Schizosaccharomyces pombe: one gene and its partners. The gene in region 1 interacts genetically with each later gene. Each region holds a gene or a part of one and is shown in the gene's direction. Other genes may lie near its edges.

Evidence for each region. Genes that interact genetically often act in the same process or in processes that back each other up.
Region 2: mutations in SPOM_SPCC1020.07 (region 1) and SPOM_SPBC1348.12 together harm fitness less than expected from each alone (positive genetic interaction), as found in Schizosaccharomyces pombe (one large-scale study listed by BioGRID).
Region 3: mutations in SPOM_SPCC1020.07 (region 1) and akr7 together harm fitness more than expected from each alone (negative genetic interaction), as found in Schizosaccharomyces pombe (one large-scale study listed by BioGRID).

Annotation. Positions count from the first base shown.
Region 1 is NC_003421.2:769,775-777,618, reverse strand, and holds SPOM_SPCC1020.07 (pseudouridine-5'-phosphatase), read left to right. Parts: upstream 1-5,655; 5' UTR 5,656-5,893; coding exon 5,894-5,926; exon of another isoform or gene 5,927-6,097; coding exon 6,098-6,140; exon of another isoform or gene 6,141-6,205; coding exon 6,206-6,268; intron 6,269-6,325; coding exon 6,326-6,897; 3' UTR 6,898-7,344; downstream 7,345-7,844. Other genes in the region: dcr2 (phosphoprotein phosphatase), read left to right, coding at 1,049-2,578; tal1 (transaldolase), read right to left, coding at 3,153-4,121; wybutosine biosynthesis protein Tyw1, read left to right, coding at 7,567-7,844.
Region 2 is NC_003423.3:30,961-38,580, forward strand, and holds SPOM_SPBC1348.12 (DNA-binding transcription factor), read left to right. Parts: upstream 1-4,151; coding exon 4,152-4,211; intron 4,212-4,250; coding exon 4,251-4,652; exon of another isoform or gene 4,653-4,687; intron 4,688-4,787; coding exon 4,788-4,923; intron 4,924-4,967; coding exon 4,968-5,165; intron 5,166-5,273; coding exon 5,274-5,629; downstream 5,630-7,620.
Region 3 is NC_003421.2:1,382,388-1,389,952, forward strand, and holds akr7 (pyridoxal reductase), read left to right. Parts: upstream 1-4,217; 5' UTR 4,218-4,414; coding exon 4,415-5,416; 3' UTR 5,417-5,574; downstream 5,575-7,565. Other genes in the region: splicing factor Spf30, read right to left, coding at 103-1,038; chaperone EMC4, read right to left, coding at 1,645-2,226; RSC complex subunit Rsc7, read left to right, coding at 6,411-7,565.

The DNA of each region.
Region 1 (7,844 bases):
AGGTATTCTGCTTGAACTTTGAGTTGAAGAATAAATGGGTTCTTTATTTTGAAAGAGTTTGCGTTATGATAATTACTCTTTGGTTCGGCTTAGTGGTTCGGCACAATAATTATGCCGGAAAAAAACAAGATCCGCAAAACCCTCTATATATATCGACTTGCTGGCAGCTTAAAACTTTTCAGATCAGGTAAGAAACTAACGCAATAGTACCCTTACACAGTTATACAACTATTGACACATGTTTCATGGGCCACAACATGTGAAATGTCGGCCAAATTAAGCTTGAATTAAGCGAGATTTATAGTACCTTGAAATATTCGTTTTCATTTGCGAGTTTTCTCGTACCACTACAGTATGAAGCAGAATTTCTCAGAAAATAATACTTAACAAAAAGTTAGAGCTTAAAATATAATCCAAAATGGTTGTTAAGATTTTGAGAGCTGCCGTACCTCTCATATAAACACTCACCGCTAGAAATTAAAAAATAAGTGAGATGAAAATATTAATGTCAATGAGTATCTGAGAGCTTATCCATGCAATTTTCTTCTTCCGAAATGCCATCTAGCTTTAACGTTTGTTTTCACTCACAAGAAAAGTCGCTATAATGCTGAATTTTAATAGACATTCAGAATAACTGAGAACCTGCTAAACTACGTTAAGCTCATCTCTTCACATACCGAGCTCTTTCCAACTTCAAGTATTATGATAAGCAAGTTTCTTGAAAGCGATTCTTAAGTGAGTATTCTGCACTACGCTAGGCATAGATAACGGATTCGTTCTTGTGCTCCGCATTCGAATCTTAATTTGAAAAGCCTTCTTCTACCATGTAAACATTACCGTAATATCCACATAATCCTTTTGCTTTCATGAATTCAGTCAATTCTACAGGTTTTTCATAAAAACTTTTAATTTGAAGCACATTTGTTATATAAATATTGCTTTTCTTTGTCAAATATTTGATCCGTAAAAGAAAAAGTTCTCGCGGGACGTTTTTCGGTTAAAAATACATTCCTACAATTACTAATCTCGTGTTCAAAGACTAAGCAAAATGATGCTACCAAAGAGAAACATTATTCATTTCCTTCGTAAAAGGGCAATCTTCATAGTTGCGGCTTTCATAGCATTATTGACTGTTGATTATTCGCTCAACACCATTGAAATCACTGACTCAAAGTCGGGACCCTTCTCACTGAACACTCCAATCGAAGATATAAGGCTGGTCGAGTGCTTTTCCTTTTCTCCCTTTTGTCGTCCCGTTTTGGAATTTTGGAAATGGGCCCGTACTAGTCGGAATCTGTACCGTTCCCGAATTCCTTGGAAGCGTGCCTACCTTTACGTGAAACGACCAGCACTGTATATTCCTGGGGAGACTGTCTTAGTTGAACAGGTATATGTTGATCGACAGCTGGAAAAGCGTAACAAGCACGGTATTCAAATTCGTTATGGAACGGATGGTGATATTTGCGAATTTAATACATTGTTGGGTGAGGATGTTGTTGAATTACGAGAGGGTTGGTCTGCTGTTCTAAATGACTTTATTTATTTAGGACAGCCGGTCCTATTGACGCAAAGACCTTGTGAAACTCCTCCGACGCCATCTATTGAAGCGCTTAAGAGAAAGGAGCTTTCATCCGTAACCCTTACTTATGATGACGAAGAAAAAAAGACAATTAAGATTCTTCAGCTTTCTGATTTGCACTATTCAAATTCTGACAGACCGTGTCGCGATCCTTATCCGTATGAGACTGCAGAGGATTGTATGGCCGATGCAAAAACTACTGCTTTCGTGAATGAATTATTACAGTTAGAGGAACCGGACTTTGTCCTTTTGACTGGGGACTTAATTAACGGCGACACGTCACGCGACGCTAGAAGCTCTTTGATGAAAGCGGTGTCCCCTTTTGTTGATTACAACGTCCCATTTGCTGTAAATTTCGGAAATCACGATGATTTGGGAGATTTATCGAGGGAAGAGCTTGCCAAAATTTTGAGTCAGATTCCTGGTAGTATGGGTTTGATTGGAAATGTCTCTGGTGTTGGTAACTTTGTTTTACATAGTCCCCGAAAGTTTGCCATTTACGTTTTAGATACAAAGGGAGATACTTCAAATCGAAGATTATGCCCTGGATACGATGCTATTACCGAGGATCAACTGGAGTGGCTTTCTAGTAAAGTTGCGGATTTCAAGTACGAGCCCATTCAAATGGCTGTATTGCATATCCCTCTGAAGGAGTTTTGCGAGACTGAAGACCTTGTTGGTGCATTTCGAGAGCCCTGTTCTTATTCCATTTGTGATCCAAATACTGCGAAAGCTTTGAAAAGTTTACGTATTCCTCTTGCTATTGCAGGACATGACCATGTAAATGATTTCTGTGGAATCCATCCAGATTATAACACATACTTTTGCTTTGCTGGAGGTGCTGGGTTTGGCGGATATGGAGGACATGGTGGCTACGTTCGTCGTGCAAGGGTTTTTGAGTTGGACCCGGTTGAGCGCGCAGTTCGTACTTGGAAACGCTTGGAATGGCCTCCTGAAGACCGTAAGTTGATGCTGGACGTACAAACTATTTTAGTTTAAACAATCACTCCTCTCATTATATAACTTATTTCACAGCAGGATATAATTTTCTTTTTCTTCTATCTTTACGATATTTTTATTTTCTATTCAATCTTCATCCCAATTTTATGGGATCCTTCTTTTCAAAGTGAATTTCTTATGTTACGGAAGTAATATACTAATTAATATTAACGAAATTTTTACGCTCTTCCAATTACATACTTAAATAGTTTTGAAATGTGTTTGCTAATAATTAATTCCACATTCTACCATTTGCAGTTGAGATCCATCATATATTTTATTCCAAAATACAAGTAAATATGTCCATCCACATACGCAATACATATATACAAAATATATATATTCATTTATATAACAATCGTCAAACCTAAAGGCTTAGTCACACTTATAGCTCGCAAGTACGATTTATTTTTTGTGTTTTGTTAAAAAAGACTGCCATAACATCCTTAAAATCATAATCTGGAAACCTCAACATACGGAATGCTAGCAGTAAAAAGGGTAAAAAAAAGTAAGCTAAAAAACTCCTAACAAAATGAAAGAAATCGGTATACCTAACTGGTTGCAGCTAAAATATTTAGGCCTCAAGCTTAGCCTTCAAGATGGTACGAAGAGTATCAGCATCCTTGGCAAAGGCAGCGATACCAGTGGACAACTTGACTACAGCCATTTCGTCGTTGTTAAAGTCGAAACGGAACTTGGGCTCATCAGTAAGGTAGGAAACCTTCTCCAAATTGAGGCTGGAAGCCTTGGAGGCATCAAGCTTCTTGGGGACAGCGTCGGTGCTGTTGTTGAGCTGCTCAAGAAGGGCGGGGGAGATGGTCAAAAAGTCAACACCAGCGAGTTCCTTGATCTCACCGACGTTACGGAAAGAAGCACCCATGACAATGGTCTTGTAACCGAATTTTTTGTAGTAGTTGAAGATGTTAGAGACACTGACGACACCGGGGTCTTCTTGAGCGGTATAGTCACGGTTATTCTTAGCCTTGTAGAAATCGAGAATACGACCGACGAAAGGAGAAATCAAGGTAACGTTAGCCTCGGCGCAAGCAACAGCTTGGACAAAAGAGAACAAGAGAGTCAAGTTGCAGTGGATGCCCTCTTCCTCGAGTTGCTTAGCAGCTTGGATACCCTCATAGGTGGAGGCAATCTTGATGAGAACACGCTCACGACCAATGCCCTCGGCTTCGTACAACTTGATGAGGTGACGAGCCTTCTCGATAGTAGTTTGGGTGTCAAAAGAGTAACGAGCATCAACTTCGGTGGAGACACGGCCAGGGACGATAGCGAGGATCTTGGTACCGAATTCGATCAAAAGACGATCAAAAGCAATCTCAATTTGAGAGTTGATGGAACCACCCTTTGCCTTGGCATAGTCAACAGCAGCGTCGACGAGAGCAGCATATTGGGGCTTCTTAGAAGCGGCCAAGATGAGAGAAGGGTTTGTGGTGGCATCTTGGGGTTTGTATTTGGCGATCGATTCAAAATCTCCAGTATCGGAGACGACAACAGTGCCAGTGGCCTTTAATTGTTCCAATGAAGACATTTTGATAAAACTACCTCAAAAACTCGTTAGTAAATACTTTTTCCAGACAAATAACTTCGTTTTTCCTAAAAAACACTACAAACATACCTTTTCTGAGTTTCTTGGTGTTCCTAAGGATATAGGTTCTGGTTAAGTTGTGTGTAGCGTGGAAACTTCCACTTAAGCATTTTAGGTACGTCAGCCAAAGTTTCTTTGAATTTGCGGAGAACTTAGCAATGTTTGTCTAGATTTAATTGATTGCTTAAGCAGATGAAAAACTTTCGATTTTACTATAAAATTTCAGAAGAAAAAAATGGAAGCTGCAGACTGTGCTCAATGCATTCTTCACCATCGAAAGTATAGGAAAAGTCGAAAAAATTTATGAAAAAGAAAAATTTTAAAAAATGGTCGAAATCAGATTGTTTTTTTGTTCCAAATTGAAATATATAATGTCAGTAATCTAAGAAAAATAATGCGCTGGTCGCAAGCGGGATCCCGAACAAGATATTGAAGAGATTGACATGACTGGGCTGATTGCAAGTAGTGCCTTAAGGTATGTATTAATGCTAGAACGTTACAAGTATAGTATTGGAAATATTTTGTTAATTGGCACATTTCTTTTGTTTGGTTTGAGCGACATGACAGCAGCAAGTTGCTGCATCGGACATGATCGATGTTCGCACAAGTGTTAAATAGTTGGACCTAAAATTGAATACATATCCATGGAAAACTCTTAAATTGGTAAAAGCATCTGATACTCTTTGGATAGGTATACTCTTCTACCTACACTCTTGTCGATTCGAATTGCCTCTTACAGTAATACAAATGAGATTAGCTTCTAAGGTATCTACAGTCTTCAGAAATGGTCAAGTTCGTAATTAAAAAGGCTTGGTTTTAACCTGTTTATGGACATTGTCTATATAATCGTCAGCGAAATCTTCAAGCATAGTGTGAGATACACCTGTATACCCATAGTTGACGAGCAGATAATCGTAAGGCCTTTTATTTGACTTTCATTACTTATTATTACTTTAATCACTTTTTAAGTAATTTTCTTCAAAATAAACCACCGATATCTCACTCGACATTTAAAAAGAGCTATCTGTATATCCACCTGATGACATTCCATAGTCATCGAGTACAGCTTTGTAGTTTTTCAATAAGACACCCATTCCCGTATCAATTTTACTTTCAAACCACCTTCTGTAACATGTTTCCGGTCAAGTTCAAAGTCACACGTGAATGAATTGTTTGTAGACAAATAAACATCCATAAACTGAGCTTGTCGTGTAATAGGAAGAGAGTCGAGTAAATTCAATGTCATTGCACTTTATAAACTTTCTTCTATTTTTTTCTAGTTTCTTTTTATCTTACCATAACATTATCATTTAGATGAATCAAGTTCAATCCCTGACTCAACAAATTCGCCAACTTTACCTCTCTTTACACTCATTATTTTCAAGCAATTCTATTTGCAAGTCCAAAAGCTTTCCTAATGCCACAAATATTCTATTTCTCACCTTTGCCTAAACAATGGCTCGTCTTGCAACTTGTCAACTCCACGTTTGACTACTTCTAGCAGAATTTATTAAGGACGACTGTGATTGTCTAAACTTGAATTATTTGATAAGTTATCGTATATTCATCTCATTCCCATTGCTGCTTTCGTCCGTATACTGATCGAAATTGGTTTCATTCTGTTACGAATAGTATATATCCTTTCAACAATATCTTTCTTCATCGTAGAAAAACAAAGACATTCTTTTTATTAAAACCCTTACTTTACTTTAAAGATGATTCCTGAGGCGTGTCTTTTCGATATGGACGTACGTACATAGTAAAATAATATGGATCATTTACGGCGTCCATGATCAACAAATACAATATTTATTATCGTTTATTTGTTTTTCATTCTACTTAAAAGTGCTTAGCCTGATGATTCCTTAAAGCATACTACTTGAAAAGCGATAAAGTGTCCTTCTATCTAACGAATACAGGGCTTGTTGGTCGATACAGAGTCAATCTACACAAAAAGCACTAGTAAGTTTTACTCTTCCTTTTCCCTTTCTGTTCAAAGGTATTGGTTAGGCTAACGGTGCGTCTAGATATCATTTTAAAGCGCTATAACAAAGGCCCCTTCTCCATGGAAGTCAAGGCTAAGATGATGGGTAAGTGGCTTTGAGCTGTTGTTGTTTTTTTCAACCTTCTAATCATTCATGCTTTAGGCCGAACTTCAAAGGAGGCCAGCAGAATCTTTTTGGATTGGTCGGGTATTGATTTGACCTGCGAAGAATACATAGCATTACAACGTGAAACTCAAGCTGAACTATGGAGGCATACAAAGCCTTTACCTGGCGTTATGAATTTGTTAAGTAAGTTGAAATCACTAAACATTCCTATAGCACTAGCCACTTCCAGTGACACACACAACTTTGAAAAGAAGTCCGCTCATTTGAGTCATTTGTTTGATCATTTTGATGGAAACATTATCACTGGAGATGACCCTCGATTACCCGTCGGTAGAGGCAAACCTCACCCAGATATTTGGTTCATCGCTTTGAAGATGATCAACGACAAGCGCAAGGCTCAAGGCCAGGCAGAAATCCTGCCAGAGAACTGCTTGGTTTTTGAAGATTCCATTACAGGAGTTCAATCAGGCCGGGCGGCAGGCATGAAAGTTGTGTGGGTTCCTGATGTCAATATTCTTCCCTTTTTTTCTCTTTCTCCAGAACAAGCTGCGGACAAGCATATAACAAAGGTGCTAAGCTTGGAGAATTTCGATGTTACAAAGGTATAGTTGAATTGGTTTCTTTCTCTTACTTTCTTCATTTATCGCTTTTGCTTTATATCTTTTTTTTTGCTCTTTATTTAAGACGCAGCATGCTAGCTGCATTATTTACTTTTTATTCTTCGTTTTACTGATATATTCCCATGTCGTAAAATCTTTAAAAATGAACTCTCATCAAACATTCCAAATCTTTTTTGAATACTTTTCACAAATAACAATCATTACAAAGCCCTCATCCTTGATTCTTTCTTCAATCGTTTGAAAGTGTCTCATCTCCAAGTATCATTTTCACTACGTCTAACACTAGCTATCTAGCAATTTTTCTAAATGTTACTACACATGAGGTATTTTAAGAGATATTGCTTTTCTTATAGTTTGATTTTCAAGAATGTTGACTTTTACAAAAAGTACCTTTTTGGCCAGCACTCCATCATTTAGATGAAAGCACTTATATATTAATAAGGTAAAATTAATCATAAAATAAACAAATAAGTAAAAATTTTAAATTAATTTAAAAGTTCATCCTTCATTTTAGTACTCTCTAGCTGGACTTAGTTCTGTTGGCGCTTATTGGTGAAATTTGCCTGTGTCTTTTCCATATGCCACACCTCAAAGAATCCTTTTTCCAACCACCAAGGATACTATTTCTTTGCTAAATTCCAGTGGTAAATCATTGCCATGGGGTATTCTTTGGGGTACATCGGGGAGCATTGGGAAGAATACCGGGCTGTATTGTACATAGTCTTGCTGCTGCCTGTACTGATCCATTTTCTGATTCGACGAAAAACCCAATTGTCCAATTCAGATAAATCAAGCGAGAAAAAAGATGAGGTAAAGAAACAGAGAGAAGTTAAAAGGTTTAAGCGGGTTGGCAAAAGGGGAAAGATCGGTTCGCCATCCTCTTCCATTCGTAAACAAAATGATACTATTGATTGGAAAAACTCTCCTCTTTGTGT
Region 2 (7,620 bases), on another chromosome or scaffold:
AAATTTACAGAAGAACTATATAAATTTTACTGTTTATGTCCTCTTGCATCAATGAGCTCAGTTGCAGATGTTCGAATTCGTAATGATTATACATTTCCCGTCAGTTGAGAACAGAAATTATTGCCTGAAAAAATTTGAATTAAGAGCTTGCCTACAGTCGGGCTCTATTTTCTGCAATTTAAACGTGATGATAAAAACTAATGTATATCCACCGTAGAAGATAGAAATATGAAGAGTACACTAATGGTGAAAATTTTGAGCAATGTAGAACGAAGAGAGAGGGCTGCCTTTGGTTGATAGTAAAAGAAAAAAAGTAAAGCTGTAAAAGTCAGGATTGACAATGACAAATTGATTTTGATCATTACAGATACGTAAAAAACAAAAGAAGCTTTAAATTCTTGAAAAAGTAACAATAGTTAAAAGGAATGATTAAAGATATAACAACGAAGAAAACTAAAAAAGCCTACGAATTAAACATAAAGGGAAAAAGGCTGTATGCTAAGTCGTTGATTGAACTGATTATTTTTATGTATTTTACCCAATTTTAATAACTACAAAAAAATTGAAGCATTGGAGAAAAAGTTATGAAAAATAAAATTGACTAATATAATAAAGTCAAAAAAATAAAAAAATTAAGATTAAGGTTAACTGATTAAATTTTTTTTTTTTTTTTTTTTTAAAGATTATCCCAAGCTTTAATTATAAAACCTTCTTTTATTAAAATAATTAATGAAATTATTCACTTAGATTATCTTTTTTTAGCAATATTTCTATTTTTTTTTTACCAATAACTTTGCATTTAGTATACAAATTCATATTGCTAAGCCTTTTGAAAAATTGGTTTATTTGTCTCTCTTCTCTTTTTAACTTAAATAAAAATAGTTTTTTCTCAATTTCGGTTTCCTTCTTTCATATTAGGTTTGTTGCTTTAACCTTTTGGCTTTAACAATCTTTCAAGTAAGTTTCATTGTAATTCTCAGGAGTGCGATATTTGAATTGAAATTCTCATTCTTCATTCCCAAATTAGCTTCGTTTACAAATATTCTACATTATTAGAAGTCTAAAAATTGCTATTTTGTTGTTACCTAATAGAATATATATTTATTTATTCTTCTGCTGTTCCATACCTGCCTTTCTAAAAAGTAAAAAACGAACAAAACGAGATACCAAGCTAAAAGTAACATATCGGTCTTGTGACTACGAGTGAGCTTTCTGTGTTTTTCAAAAAACATATTGATCTAAATGAAACTTTTTTTCTTTCGTTGCAACATGACTGTATTTTCTCCTTAAGTAGTTGAGCTCATTGGAAATGGTGAATTTAAATGATGGTCTAAACGTTTCGATGTTTAAGATAACTTCTATGTCCAATTATAAATATTTGATATACTAATTTTATACACAGTGAGGTAAAATCAAACAGAATTGTGTATCCAAACGCGTTTGTTAATGTTGATTGTATCGCTCTTCCATATCCTTTGGTTAAGCGATGCACTTGGATTTTCAGCTGAGCATTATTGCACTACTATTTCGTGATCTATAAAGTATTATTACTGTCATTTGTATTCTATAAAACTTGTTAATTTACGGAATAATTGTCAAATTATTGTCATTCAATACGATGGTATTTACCGTGCTAAGCTGAATGTGATAAAGGGTAGTCTTTATAAAAAAGAATTCATAGTTCACTGGAAGATTTGAACCAGTGACATTTACATAAAAATCAAAAAAAGTTTAAGAAATGCATATCAACCCATGAAGTAATAAACAATTTCGGAGTTTGAGAATGAGGATTGGAAGAAACTTTTAAAATATACCACGAAAATTTTACAATCGCGAATTTCTTGCGTTTTTTTTATAAGAGACTTAGTAGTATCTTCTAGATACAAAAGTATAAATCGAGCGTTACAGTAAACTCAGGACAAGAAAAACTTGACTTATATTGATTACTATCCTTAAATCTTTCGCAGAGGCGCTGCTGGTATACCTGTAGGTAGCTGGTATCAAATGGTCAGCCAAGTATCTTTTTTTTTTAATTATATCTAGATTATTTTTTAATTAATTAAAAAGTAAGTGCAATGATTAATAAGGAACTCCTGATAAATAACTTATTGTTTGTATGTTATGCGGTTATTGCGGATCAAATAAATTGGGAGCGTAGACTTTAATTACTTATTTCTTTCATATATATAGATATAATCTGCCATTTTTAGATTCATCAAGAACACAATAATCTTCAAGTATTTAGATTTTTGCATTCGCTGGATAAACAAATGGACTTGATTGCTCTTGCAACTGGAAGAAAATCCAACCATCATTATGCTAATTTAGATCGAAAATCTTCTAAAGAAAAAGTTTATCCATCATTTTCTCTGAATGAAAATAATCGAAAGATTACCGAAAAGCTATCGACTGACAACAAAAGCGATTTTTCACATGATTCAAAAGTAGATACGAGAATCCAAGTTCCATATTTGGTTACTTGGGGTGGTTTAAATGACCCTTTAAATCCTCGAAATTGGTCATACACTAGAAAATGGTGGGTCGTTATTCAGGTTTCCACTATCACGATAGTTGTAACCTTCGCTTCCAGTGTTTACTCCACTGGTACAGTTGAAATATCGGAAGATTTGGATCTTCTATTTTAGTTACCACTCTGCGAACGTGCACATTCTTGGTCGGTTTCGGTGTAGGCTCTATTCCATTTGCTCCACTAAGCAGTATATACGGAAGACTTATTGTATACATTGGAACTCTGCTTGTCTTCATTATTTTTCAAATCGGTAGTGGTTGCGCTAGCAATGTTTGGTCATTAGTCATATTCAGGTTTCTTCAGGGTTTTTTTGGAAGTACGCCTCTAGCAAATTGCGGAGGAACAATTAGTGATATATTCACACCGATCCAACGTACTTATGTTCTTCCCGCACTATGCACCTTTCCATATTTAGGTCCCATAATTGGACCAATTATTGGCAATTTTATTTCGCAGAGCTATTTAGGATGGAGATGGACATTTTGGATCAACATGATTTGGGCTGCTACTATTCTTGTGGTTGTGTTCCTCGCATTTCCAGTACCTCACGAAGATACCATCCTTGACTATAAAGCAAAACACTTACGTAAAACAACCGGTAATTCTGCATGGTACACAGTTCACAAACGCGAACGTGATCCAAAAAATGCAATTGTTCAAGCTGCTACTCAGGCGGTTTCCCTGATTTTCACAGAACCTATTGTGGTGTGTTTTACATTATATTTAACTGTAATTTATGTTATCAGTTACATAAATTTTGAGGGATATCCTATCGTATATGCCAAATACGACTTCAATCAATGAGAACAAGGATTATCATTTATTGGTGTTGGGGTAGGACTGGCTGTTGCTGGCTCCTGTACCCCATTGGTTTACTGGCATTATTTAACAACTACTAAGAAAAGAAACGGTCTGACGTGTCCGGAAGACAGGCTTTATCCTTTATTTATTGCATGTTTTTTATTCCCCATTTCTATGTTTTGGTTCGCTTGGACTTGCTATCCCAATCGTATCCACTGGATAGTACGGATCATATCTAGTGCTTTTTTTGGGTTCTCTCTATTGGTTATATTTTATGTTTGTTATAATTACATTATTGATTCCTATCAGCATATGGCGCCAAGTGCATTGGCTGCATCGACCTTAATTCGGTATAGTGTGAGCGGTGGCATAACTTTAGTTGCACGCCCTATGTATTTAAATCTAGGCGACCACTGGGCTACAAACGTGCTTGGATTTATCTCGATAGCTATGATACCTATTCCTTTCATCTTTTTTTCGTTTTGGTAAAAAAATCCGTGCGTTTAGTAAAAACGCTTATAAATTTTAAAGACTTAGTTATTAGCTTGAATTTGAAATTTTGATTTGAGAAAAAGTTTGATATCAGTTTAAGAATGTTAACTATTGGAAACATATGTTTTCTTAAGCCATTTATTTGCAATCTAAATTAATAACAATAAGTAAAATGTCTACATTATTATTACTTAACCATTTTACTAAACATACATAAGAGCACATTTATTAAGTATTTGAAAAATACCCATCATTAAATACATTGTTACTTTCGTTAAAGTTTGGTTAGTCGTCATTACTAATATGAAGTAACTTCAACGACAACTACATGCATCTTAGTAAGGCTTCTTTTTTATTTGATTGTAGCAGATTTATCCTAAATTTTCATGTGTAGGTAGGAATTCCTTGAAAAAATTTATATTAAAAGGAGCGATGTTTAAAAAATGGCGTTCGTACAAAAAAGGCCTGCGTAATATGTCGCTCTAAAAAGCAAAAATGTGATGGGCAACTCCCTTGCCTATATTGTAAAAAATATGAGTACCAATGTGCTTATGAGGGCCAAGCGACTTCTACCTGTAATTCCGAGGCATCCTTGTTCAATGATGCGAACTTTAAAATCGGAAGTGATTACAGGTCTAAAAGAATAAAGGTTGTTTCGGATACTAACAATAATAAAGAAGATGGTGACGGGAAGTTGAGTTTTACACAATGCAATCCAAGAATGGATATTCATCATGAAGCTGAGAACTTTACAGCTATGGTTCCTTACTATGAACCCAAGAAATTTCGATTTTTTTATGAAAATAGCGCCATAGTATTTCCTCGGATAGTAGGAGAAGGACCAAAAATGAACTACCTTTCTCGTTTGCATTCATTTGCATGAAATGCGGGAATACGCAGTGAAAAAAAAAACCATGTGTTTCCAAAGTTGACGGAACTAATAACTAAAGAAAAATACTTAAAGTACGTATTTATATATTTTGAAGAAGTTCATCCCATATTTAGCATGTTTGATCAAAAAGCCATGGAGAAAAAGATCCAATTCTTATGGGACAACAAATCAACTGATAGCTGCTCTGAGTACGTCGTGATTTCAGTAAGTATACTAGGATTTTTTTTTCGTCCGATTCGGACAAGTCTTTAGAGGGTAAACTAGTAGAGCATATAACGCAAGTTTTGGAGAGTTCACTGTCGACCACAATTTTATCATCGATTCAACTTACAGTTTGTTGGGTTTTAAGAACAATTTACTTACATGCTACTACTCGTCCTCACCTCTCCTGGATTGCTTCTTCTGTCTCCATGCACTATGCAGAAATTGTAGGACTTCATCAGGAGATAAGTAAAATACGGGTAGAGAATGACAAGGATGGTGAAGAAAACAACGATTAGATTTTTTTGTCAAGAGAAAAAAATTTTTGGATTGCTAGATCCTTAAATTGGATTTTAGCAGCTGAATACGGAACGAGGGGAATAGAGTTAACGAACATAACAACCCAAATGGTTGAAGAGGATGGACCTGCTTATCAGCTTGTATTGTTATTTAAAATCATAATGGAGTACCAGATAATATCAGAAGATTCAAGATTTGTATATTTACAAGCATTCCAAAGACTGGACCAGCTTTGTGACATTCATTCACCAGCACTTGTATTGCTAAAAGCAACGGTATGTTTTCACTTGTACCGAAACTTATTTCTTGCAAGAATTAAACCTTTTTGTGTAATTGTATCCATCCTTTTCTCTGTTATCGACAGAGCTCTTGAAAGCTGCAAGCAGTTAGTTTCTCAAAGGAAAGCGTGGTAGGGGATCGTGGATGTTCCCTTTCATGCTATTTGCGTATTGCTATCCATAGATACTATCGAATCTATGAGTATTTAGGAAAATCTTTAAGAGTATTACAGGAAATTGCCGATACTTTTCATAGTCATATGACTCAAGAGGCCCTTCTCACTGCTTGTGGTTTGTGTGAAGGCATGAGGAATAAAAAACTTAAAGAAATAAATATACTCGAAACTGAATATTTAAGTGATGTGAAGGTTTTAAGAGATAATGAATTTGAAGATCATAATTACATAAATTTCAGTTTTAACGATATATTCCTTGATATGTTTGATTTTGGTATTGTACGTAAAATTAAAGATAAAAATGCTATTCTTTTTATAATAGCTAACTCTAAAGGAATTGAAAGAGTAATAACTTTAATTAATAATAAATTTAGAACTACTAGTAAATATAATCAGATTATTAATAATATATTTGCTCAACCTAGATTTAAAGAATTTAGTAAAACTATTAATTTAAGTTTAAACACATTCCAACTGAGTGTTTTAAATAACCATTGGCTAGCTGGATTTTCAGATGCTGATGCTAGTTTTCAGATTAAAATTTTAAATAGGGACTAAAAAATAGAAGTTCGATTGAACTATCAAATAGATCAAAAAAAAGAGTATCTTTTAAGTTTAATTAAAGATAATTTAAATAAAATACAGCTAATTTTGGAAAGTGGAAAATAACAATAATATTAAAAATATGCATATCCTTTACAAGTCTATTTGTTATTGATTTCTTTTCACCAAGCGAGGTCCCTTACTAAAGTTTCTTTATGGCAGTACAACTCCCGAAGTTTGCTACTGTTTTTCTTTTAAAAAAAACCTAAGATGACATACAATTTGATAAACCTGTCCATACAAAACTTCGGACTACGATAAATTATCTTTCTCCACATTTGTCAAAGACTCATTCTCAAAATATCAATTATACCAAGAGTTTTATAATTAACAATATACTTAGTTTAGTTTTTTAAAAAATGTTTCTTAGACAATTTTTATATGTCCGACCTGCATTTTATATAGGGTTTTTTCCGAATTGTTGCTTCCGATAAAGGATCTAGTTGAATTTAGTCATTTTGCTTTATGGCTCAATAACTTTAATTGTTACTTCCATATTTGAGTAAGGAGGAAACCAATTTTAAATTCGATTCAGAATGTGTTATATCAATGCTTTATTACAAAATTGTTTCTACAGAATTAGACGACACAAAGTGGATACTTATTTTATAATTTGGTAAAGACATATATGTTTTTTGGGCTCTATTAAATATTAAGCATAAATTTCCGTTTAATGTTCATTAAGACGAATTAAAAAAGTGCCAAAATAAAAACCATTCCTAATGTTATTACTACATGAGTACTTAAAATATTTATTTTTTGTTTATTTACTTTTTTTTTATTTTAATAAAGTAATTGACTTGCCTGTTATCGTACAAAATAAATCAGCAATAAATCGAATTTACCTTGAGCAATTTCGTAAAAATAGATGATGAATAAGAAAGCAAATAGTTACTTTTTGCTTCTTTACTTCATATATTATCATACAAAAAATAAAAATTAAAATCGTTATGTATCAGAATATTACATAAACCAGAATTTGCATAGAAGCCAGAAAAATATGTGTCGTTTTAAAATAAAAAAATTAATTTTCGCACTCGCACTTATAATCGTATTCATAAATATATAGATTTAAGTTATACTAAATATCCGGTTGAAAATCCTATTCCTGCAGGTATACGGCTACACGGAGAACAGAAAAGCATTTAACAGTATTTCAGTCACCAGGGCATGCTTTATACTACTATTTAAACTTAAACTGTTTATAACATTTTTTTTATAAAACAAAAGTTTTCATGGTTACTTTATGCACTAAGTAATTTTTCGGTATTAATGCAAAATATTTAGTTAGAACTTCAATATAATCAGTAGATTTATTTTATTGAGTTATTATTTTTAAATACGATA
Region 3 (7,565 bases), 610 kb from region 1:
TATTTATGCTTATTGCACCAAAAAATATATAAATGAAAACATAAACAGCGGCTGTTAAAAGCCTATTAATTAAATACCAAGTTTCAAATGAAGACACATTGCTCAGCTATCTTCGTCTTCTCTATAATTATAGATGTGCTTTTCGCGATGCCCAGACCTCGCAACATTTCCAAAATTTTTAGGGTTTGTCCTTCCAGGAAAATCTTCAGTGCTTTTAAATATACTAGATTCTCCAATCTTCTTTCGTTTGCCAACGCGTCCAGTTTTTACACCTCGAGCAGCAAACTGTTTCCAAGAATTTTGTGATGCTTCAAGTGCTGCTTTAGGTTTTAGTTGTTTTTGCTGCTTTTGGGAGTATGAAACACTAGGAACAGGTGGAGGGTTAGAGGGAGGAATGGGAGAGATCTTTGGTAGGGTTGAAACATGCTGAGCGACATTTTGGATCGGAGATACGTTAGCCGTTACAGCCGCCGAACTCTTCATATCTGGAGAAGAGGCACGAGACGCATAATTGGAAGGACTTGTAGACATAGATGCTACAGATATTGCTTTTGTAGGCTCTCTAACAGGTGTACTACGTATAGTGGTAGATTTTTTGAGAATTTCTTTATTTCCTTCTATTTCCTGACGTTTTTCCTCAGGCATGGCCTTAATATGTTTGAGGGAAACAGTTTCAATGTCAGGATAGTCAAGAAATTGTACTGTGTACTTTTTGTTTGCACCGAAGCCTGAAACAGCAGTAATACGTGAAGGATAAAATAAATAATCTCCTGAAACCCATCGGGCCATTACTAAATTTCCAGGCGTAAAGTCGATATGTACTGGCTTTGAAGTATTGAAACCTGCAACACCATTTTGGGAATTTTGAAACGTATTTTTATCATTTTCTACACTTTCTTGTAGTAAGTTTTCAGTAAGGCTAATTAATTCCTTTAAATCATTTTCCAGTAACTGTAATTCCTCGTTTTGGGGAGTCTTCTGAAGAGAAATTTGAACGAGAGCAAGCTGGCTCTTGTATTCCTCTAATTCCTTCTCCATACGATTACTTTTATAGATTTAATAGATTTTTTTTTCAAACAGTAAAAATTTCCAAGTGTAATGGCTTTATCGCCAAAACCGGTTGTAAGTGTAGATAATATGTGAAGCAGGCGCTCAGTGAAGTGCCTGAAAATTAAGCTCAGCTATTACACTAGGGTGAAGAAAACAATATTGGAGTGAGATTAAATTTATACTAAAAGCACTAATTCTTTAACTCAATATACTAAGACATTATTGATAATAGTTAAAACAAAGAAGAATATTTGATATTTCTATATTCAGTATAATCAAGACGTAAAAGAAAGTATTCTATCAAAAATTTCATGCTCTCGAAAACTATGGATGGGTAAAAAGAACTGGATAATCAAGTATTTTCGAGGTTCGTTTATGGCGTGCATGATATCGATTAAAGGCATTGAACGTTTAATGCCGCATAATGGAGGATAAATTATTAATCCAGAAGACAATATGTTTCCGAACTCCAAGCATTCCTTCTTTATATGAATTTATTATTTTCTAGGTCAGCTAGAAGCAATGGCATTAGGAGGTACTATAATTTAACGATTTCACTCGTATATCTTTAAAATTTTGGAGTAAATGAAATTCTTACAAAACAGTTTTACTAGGACCATAAGATCGATCCATAAAGACCTTCGAGACTTCCCAGGCAAGCCAATCGCTGGTAGTCGTTGGCAATAATCCCATTCTTTGCAGCTTATAGACTCCAATCCCCATAAGCAATAATTGGAATAAAATATAAGCACCCATAGCGGGCCAAAGGGTTCCTGGGTGGGTGCCTTTAAATGGGGTGAAGGCAGATCCTGTAGATGTTATTGCTTTCAGTGGATTTACAAGCAACATAAGAGTCGTCATAATACTGAAAATTTGTAGTGAATTACCAGACATGTATGCTAAAATAGCGTTCATAGGAATTTGTTTAAGGGGGGAATATGCAAGCTCCCATGCTTTCTTTAGTAAGAGATCCTTTTGTAATTCTTCCTCTCGTTTAGCAAATATGGAAGTTGAGGAAGCTGAATTTCCTGAATGAATGTTTTTGGAAACCAACGACTTCTGTTGAAATCCTCGAGGCGTAGGGAACTTGTCAGAATTGTCAACGATCTTTTTGGGCTTCTTTGCTAACGCTGGTTTGACCAAATCGATCCAATCTGTTTCTTCGTTAATGTGCATCTTGAAAGGGAAAAAAGAGAAATTTAAAGTTGCGACTAAATTTTTGGACTCGTAAACCAAGGAATAAATTTAGTCAATGAATGAAAAGCCTGATTGCAGCTAACCTACAGTCAAAAAGTATTGGTAGCACCTCAATTATGTTTCTAAAATACGAAGACCAGCCTTATTTGATGTTTCTGAAACAAGATATTTCACCAGAAGTCAATCTCAGTTTTTCGTTATTTGATGTAAGTTGGGTGGTAGAACAATCTTTTCAAGCAAATTAATAACTTTGGTTGAAGTTAAAAATTTTCTGGTCTAAATAATTTGAGAACACGCCTCAAAATATAATATTTCAAAATAAACAATATAGTGGAGGTGGCAGATGCTAAGGAACGAAACTGGTGGTAATAGTGAAAAGCCCATCAGCTAATGAATCCCAAAAATACAAGCGCAAACAATGGCAAAAAGAAAGCCATCCTGTTATAAAAGTTCAAGATTAACTTGCTTTTGTGCTTTCTTTGGTTTTCTACTGTCTCATGGCCCGGATATGAATATGTACAACGCTTAAACATCTAATGTTAATGATTTCTTGTTAATTATCAAACCCAACGATCATTATTGATTACAGCTGGAATTAGTTTTGGTTTCTTTTATGGATATAGGATCTTGATCTTGAAAAAGTTCTGACTCTTTATCTTACAATGGTAATACCATGCTCAATGATTGATATTTTTACACTGAGATGTTTTCAAATATTCAATGGATAAAGAACATATCGTTTTGTAACTTTTTAAGCATAATCTCGTTAGCCAAGCTATTACATAAACAAAGATCGGATACAGTATGAAAGTACTCATGGTGTAAATATTTAGGAAGACGTGTTTTGGAGGGCACTCTTTGTGAGAATTTTTTTCTTATTCTAGAATATGAGTTTTAACATATTGCCGCAAGCCCAAAATTGAGTTGTACGACTCAATATACTCTGCCTAAAAAGTAAGTGCATTTTCGAAGCATAAAGAAAAAAAATGAACATTACTGGAAATTTATTTTGAAATAATCGCTTTTTAATCGTGTAATGTATTGTTATTGATTACCTTACCGATACTGATAATGCTTGCTTTTCTCCTGTTTCGAGTTTCCGTTCAAAAGACTTCTTGTTTATGATATATGACTGCGCATAAGAAGTGATAATTGTCCTTGTATATTAATATTGCCTGAAATAACTTGTAAGACCGAGCGTCTAATTTTTAAAAATATATAATATCAAGAGGAAAAACTTGCCGTTCTGCTATGATAGAGCAAAGTCGAAAACAACGTGAACCTTCAACGAAATTCTTTACAATTTATAAACCATTTCAAGTCCTCCATTCTTTAAAACGGAATGATTCTCCTTGCACTCGAATCTCACATAAATATATTCAACGAAATATAAAAGACACTTTGTTTATTTTCAAATAGCTTGTTTGCTAGAATTGCTGCTACGACTAATTCAAAGGCAGCCTTTGGAAATTGAACAACATTAAATACGACTCTAGTTTCCATTGTTTCATTACTGCTCTTTTATACCGTTCACAGTTTTCTAAGACCCCTCAAATAAAAGCAATTCGCGCTTTTGTAACTAACTTCATTCTGGCCTAATTCATACGAAACACTAATGAATGGGATAAGGACCGTTGGGCAGTTTTCTGAGTAAAGTAATAATAACAGTATCCTGTTGCATTTGATCAAATTATAAAATGATCTAAAAAACTCAAGCACCCATGATATGAACCGTAAAAAACCTTTCCTTTTTCAGAGACCTGGGTACAGAAACTTGATCACGGTTTATTATAGATAAGGGCCACTGTAAAAACATAATTCAAAAAAATATAAATCAATGTTATCTAAAAAAGCAGAGAAATAAGAAATTTCACTAATCAACAGTAAACGTGTGGGAAAGGTTGAATGTTGTAAGACTAGCGTCACATCCCTCCAAATTATAAATCAGAACAAAATTTATACTGACGCTCACGAAATACAAATTACTGAAGATTCATAAACAGACGATATTTTCCTTGATTTTTGTTTCAAGTTGGTTTTCCCCATTTTGAAACTATTTGGTATACCAATTGCACCAGAACTGAAAGTATAGTAGACATTTACTTTTCGTGAGAATTAGAGAATTTCTTAAAATTATTTTTCTTCTCGATTTGACTGTCATTTCACAATGCCTATTGTGAACGGTTTTAAAGTAGGACCTATTGGCTTAGGCCTTATGGGTTTAACTTGGAGACCCAAGCAAACTCCCATTAAACAAGCCTTTGAGTTAATGAATTACGCCTTGTCCCAAGGTTCGAACTATTGGAATGCTGGAGAATTCTATGGCATCAATCCTCCTACTGCCAATTTAGATTTGTTGGCTGATTATTTTGAAAAGTATCCAAAAAATGCCGATAAAGTATTTTTATCAGTTAAGGGAGGAACAGATTTTAAAACACTCGCTCCCCATGGAGATCCTGAATCAGTGACTAAGAGTGTAAAAAATGCACTTACTCGTTTACGTGGAAAGAAAAAGCTAGATCTCTTCCAATGTGCCCGAGTTGATCACAAAGTTCCAATTGAAACTACCATGAAAGCATTGAAGGCTTTTGTAGACTCAGGAGAAATTTCATGTGTCGGTCTTAGCGAGGCTTCTGCTGAAAGCATCAAACGCGCCCTTGCCATCGTGCCTATTGCGGCAGTCGAAACCGAATACTCTCTATTCTCACGAGATATCGAGAAAAATGGCATTCTCGATACTTGTACACAGCTCTCTATCCCAATAATCGCTTACGCGCCTTTCTGTCATGGACTTTTAACTGGGCGTGTCAAGACTGCTGAAGATCTTAAAGACTTTATCAAAGCATTTCCCTTCTTACGGAATATGGACAAGTTTAATCCAAAAGTTTTTGAAAAAAATATCCCGTTTCTTAAAGCAGTCGAGCAATTGGCTCAAAAGTTTGGTATGAGTATGCCTGAATTCGCTCTTAACTTCATTATTGCAAACGGAAAAGGCATGATCATTCCTATTCCTGGATCTACAACTGTTCAACGAGCTGAGAGCAATCTTAGTGCACTCAAGAAATCTTTGAGTTCAGAACAACTTGAAGAGGCTAAAAAAGTTTTGGATAAACATCAAATCTTTGGACTTCGTTACAACAAACAACTTGAATCCACCCTTTCCATCTGAGCATGATTTTAGCAACTTCACCGATTTGAGTTTTTTATTTAATATTTGCATTTAACCTTAACTCCTCTCTAGATTTAGATGTATACATGCTGTGTCATCCTATCGGCATCAATACAATAAAATATTTCTTTAAAAACTAAGACTGTAGTCTTTGAGTTTATTCACACCTTTATATATTATTCTCTATTGTCAGTGATTTATCTTACACTGTGTAAAAAATAGAAAGTAAGGTAGTGTAAGGAACAAGAAAACTTTCAATAAGCTTTGGGTATAATTGAATAATCAGAAACTTCCTTTACACAGAATAATCATGACTTTGGTGACACAATTTTTTAGAATGTCAACTGCTCTGCATAAAGTAATTTAGGAACGAAATTGTAGCCTTGATATAAATTCAACCCTAAAGTATTATGATGGTCTACGGTTATTTCGGTCTAGTCGACGATGCACAAAATGAGATGTCAATAAGCGCGATGCTTCAATCATTTTCTTGAAACTTATTTTAATCAATAGGAATTATCTACAGATAGGTTACGCTCGATTATTAATTGCGATAAGAATTTACATTGAATTGGTTGCCAAGGCTGGAGATTCATTTTTGAATTCAATACAACAATGAAAACCCAACGTATTATGGTGCTTCAAAAAGCGGTGTAGTAGAAAGTATTTTATTTAACTGCTAGTATCTTCTACGACTGACAATCGTTACTCATTTCTTAGGTGTTTTCAATCCTGCATCTAGGAAGACGATCATCATTCTTACTCTTATTGTTTCCGCCAATATGCTTTTGATATTTAGTTATCTAAATAGTAGGCTGCTTGTATCAGTATAACATGTAGCACCAAGGTATGCGTTACTAACAGTAGGATGGGTTTAGTGGTAGTTGTGCTAACTATAACCAAACTCACCACCAAAAAAAGCAATTTTTAACACAGTGCTATTCAGTACGATAAGATTGAACTGTTTATGGAATAAACACCTTGCAATTAAAGTATGGATTCTACGGCTGGCTCCGATGCTTCCACTCCTACAAATCACACGGTAAGCTCGAAGAAGCGAAGAGGACGCCCTCCTAAGGGTAGTTACGCCGCATATGGAAGTAGTGATGATGATGATGAAGAATACTCTGGGCGTACGCGTCGTAGAAATCGTAATACTCGCCCTAGAGTTTCAGCGCCGTCTTCTAGCTCAACAGTAGTACCGAAGGATTTGTACTCACATCGGGCTACTTTGGAAGATGATGAGCTAAACTTTGGTGTAGTAGATCCAGAAGGAGAGAAAAAAGTGAATGAATTGGGGTATTTGAATGGCGGTCGAGAGTATAGATGTCGAACGTTCACGTGCTTAGGTCGTGGTAATCGATTGTATATGCTTTCCACCGAACCAGCGAGAGCAATGGGCTATAGAGATTCGTATTTATTATTTTTGAAGCATCGTTCACTGCATAAAATTATTGTTGATGATTCTGAGAAATGGGACCTTATTGAACGAAATATTATTCCTCATTCTTACAAAGGCCGTGCGGTAGGTATTGTTGCTGCTCGTTCTATCTTTCGTGAATTTGGTGCTAGAATCATCGTTGGTGGTCGACGAATTGTAGACGATTACTGGGAAGGAGAATTCCGCGCTCGTGGTTTCGTCGAAGGAGAATTAGCTGATCCAGACGATAAATTGCCTCCTCCCGGTATGCCATACAATCGAAATCAATACGTCGCTTGGCATGGAGCTAGTGCAGTATATCACCCGCAGCCTTCACTAGAAGCTCAGCTGCCTGCAGCTGCTCGAAAAAGAAAAAAGGAACCTCCAAAAGATGCCACATGGCTTTTTCAACATGCTAAAGCAACTGCAGCTTACAATAATGATATTACAAAATACCTTGTTCAAAAACAGGATATCGGTTATTTTGAACCACATACTAACTTGTTGCATGTTCCCCTTAATACCCAACCTACAAAAACCCATTGGATTCAGGCAAAGACTGGTACGGAATGTCCTGCACCTAAATTGGATATTCTCGTTGCTCTTAACTCGGATGTGGCTCCACAGGTGTCTATTGCAAATATCCCTCCCTCCGTTTATGCGAGTTGTCCACTCCACGTTCAAGAGGCTATTCGCAAACGTCAAGAACAAGAGATTCGTAGTATTCGT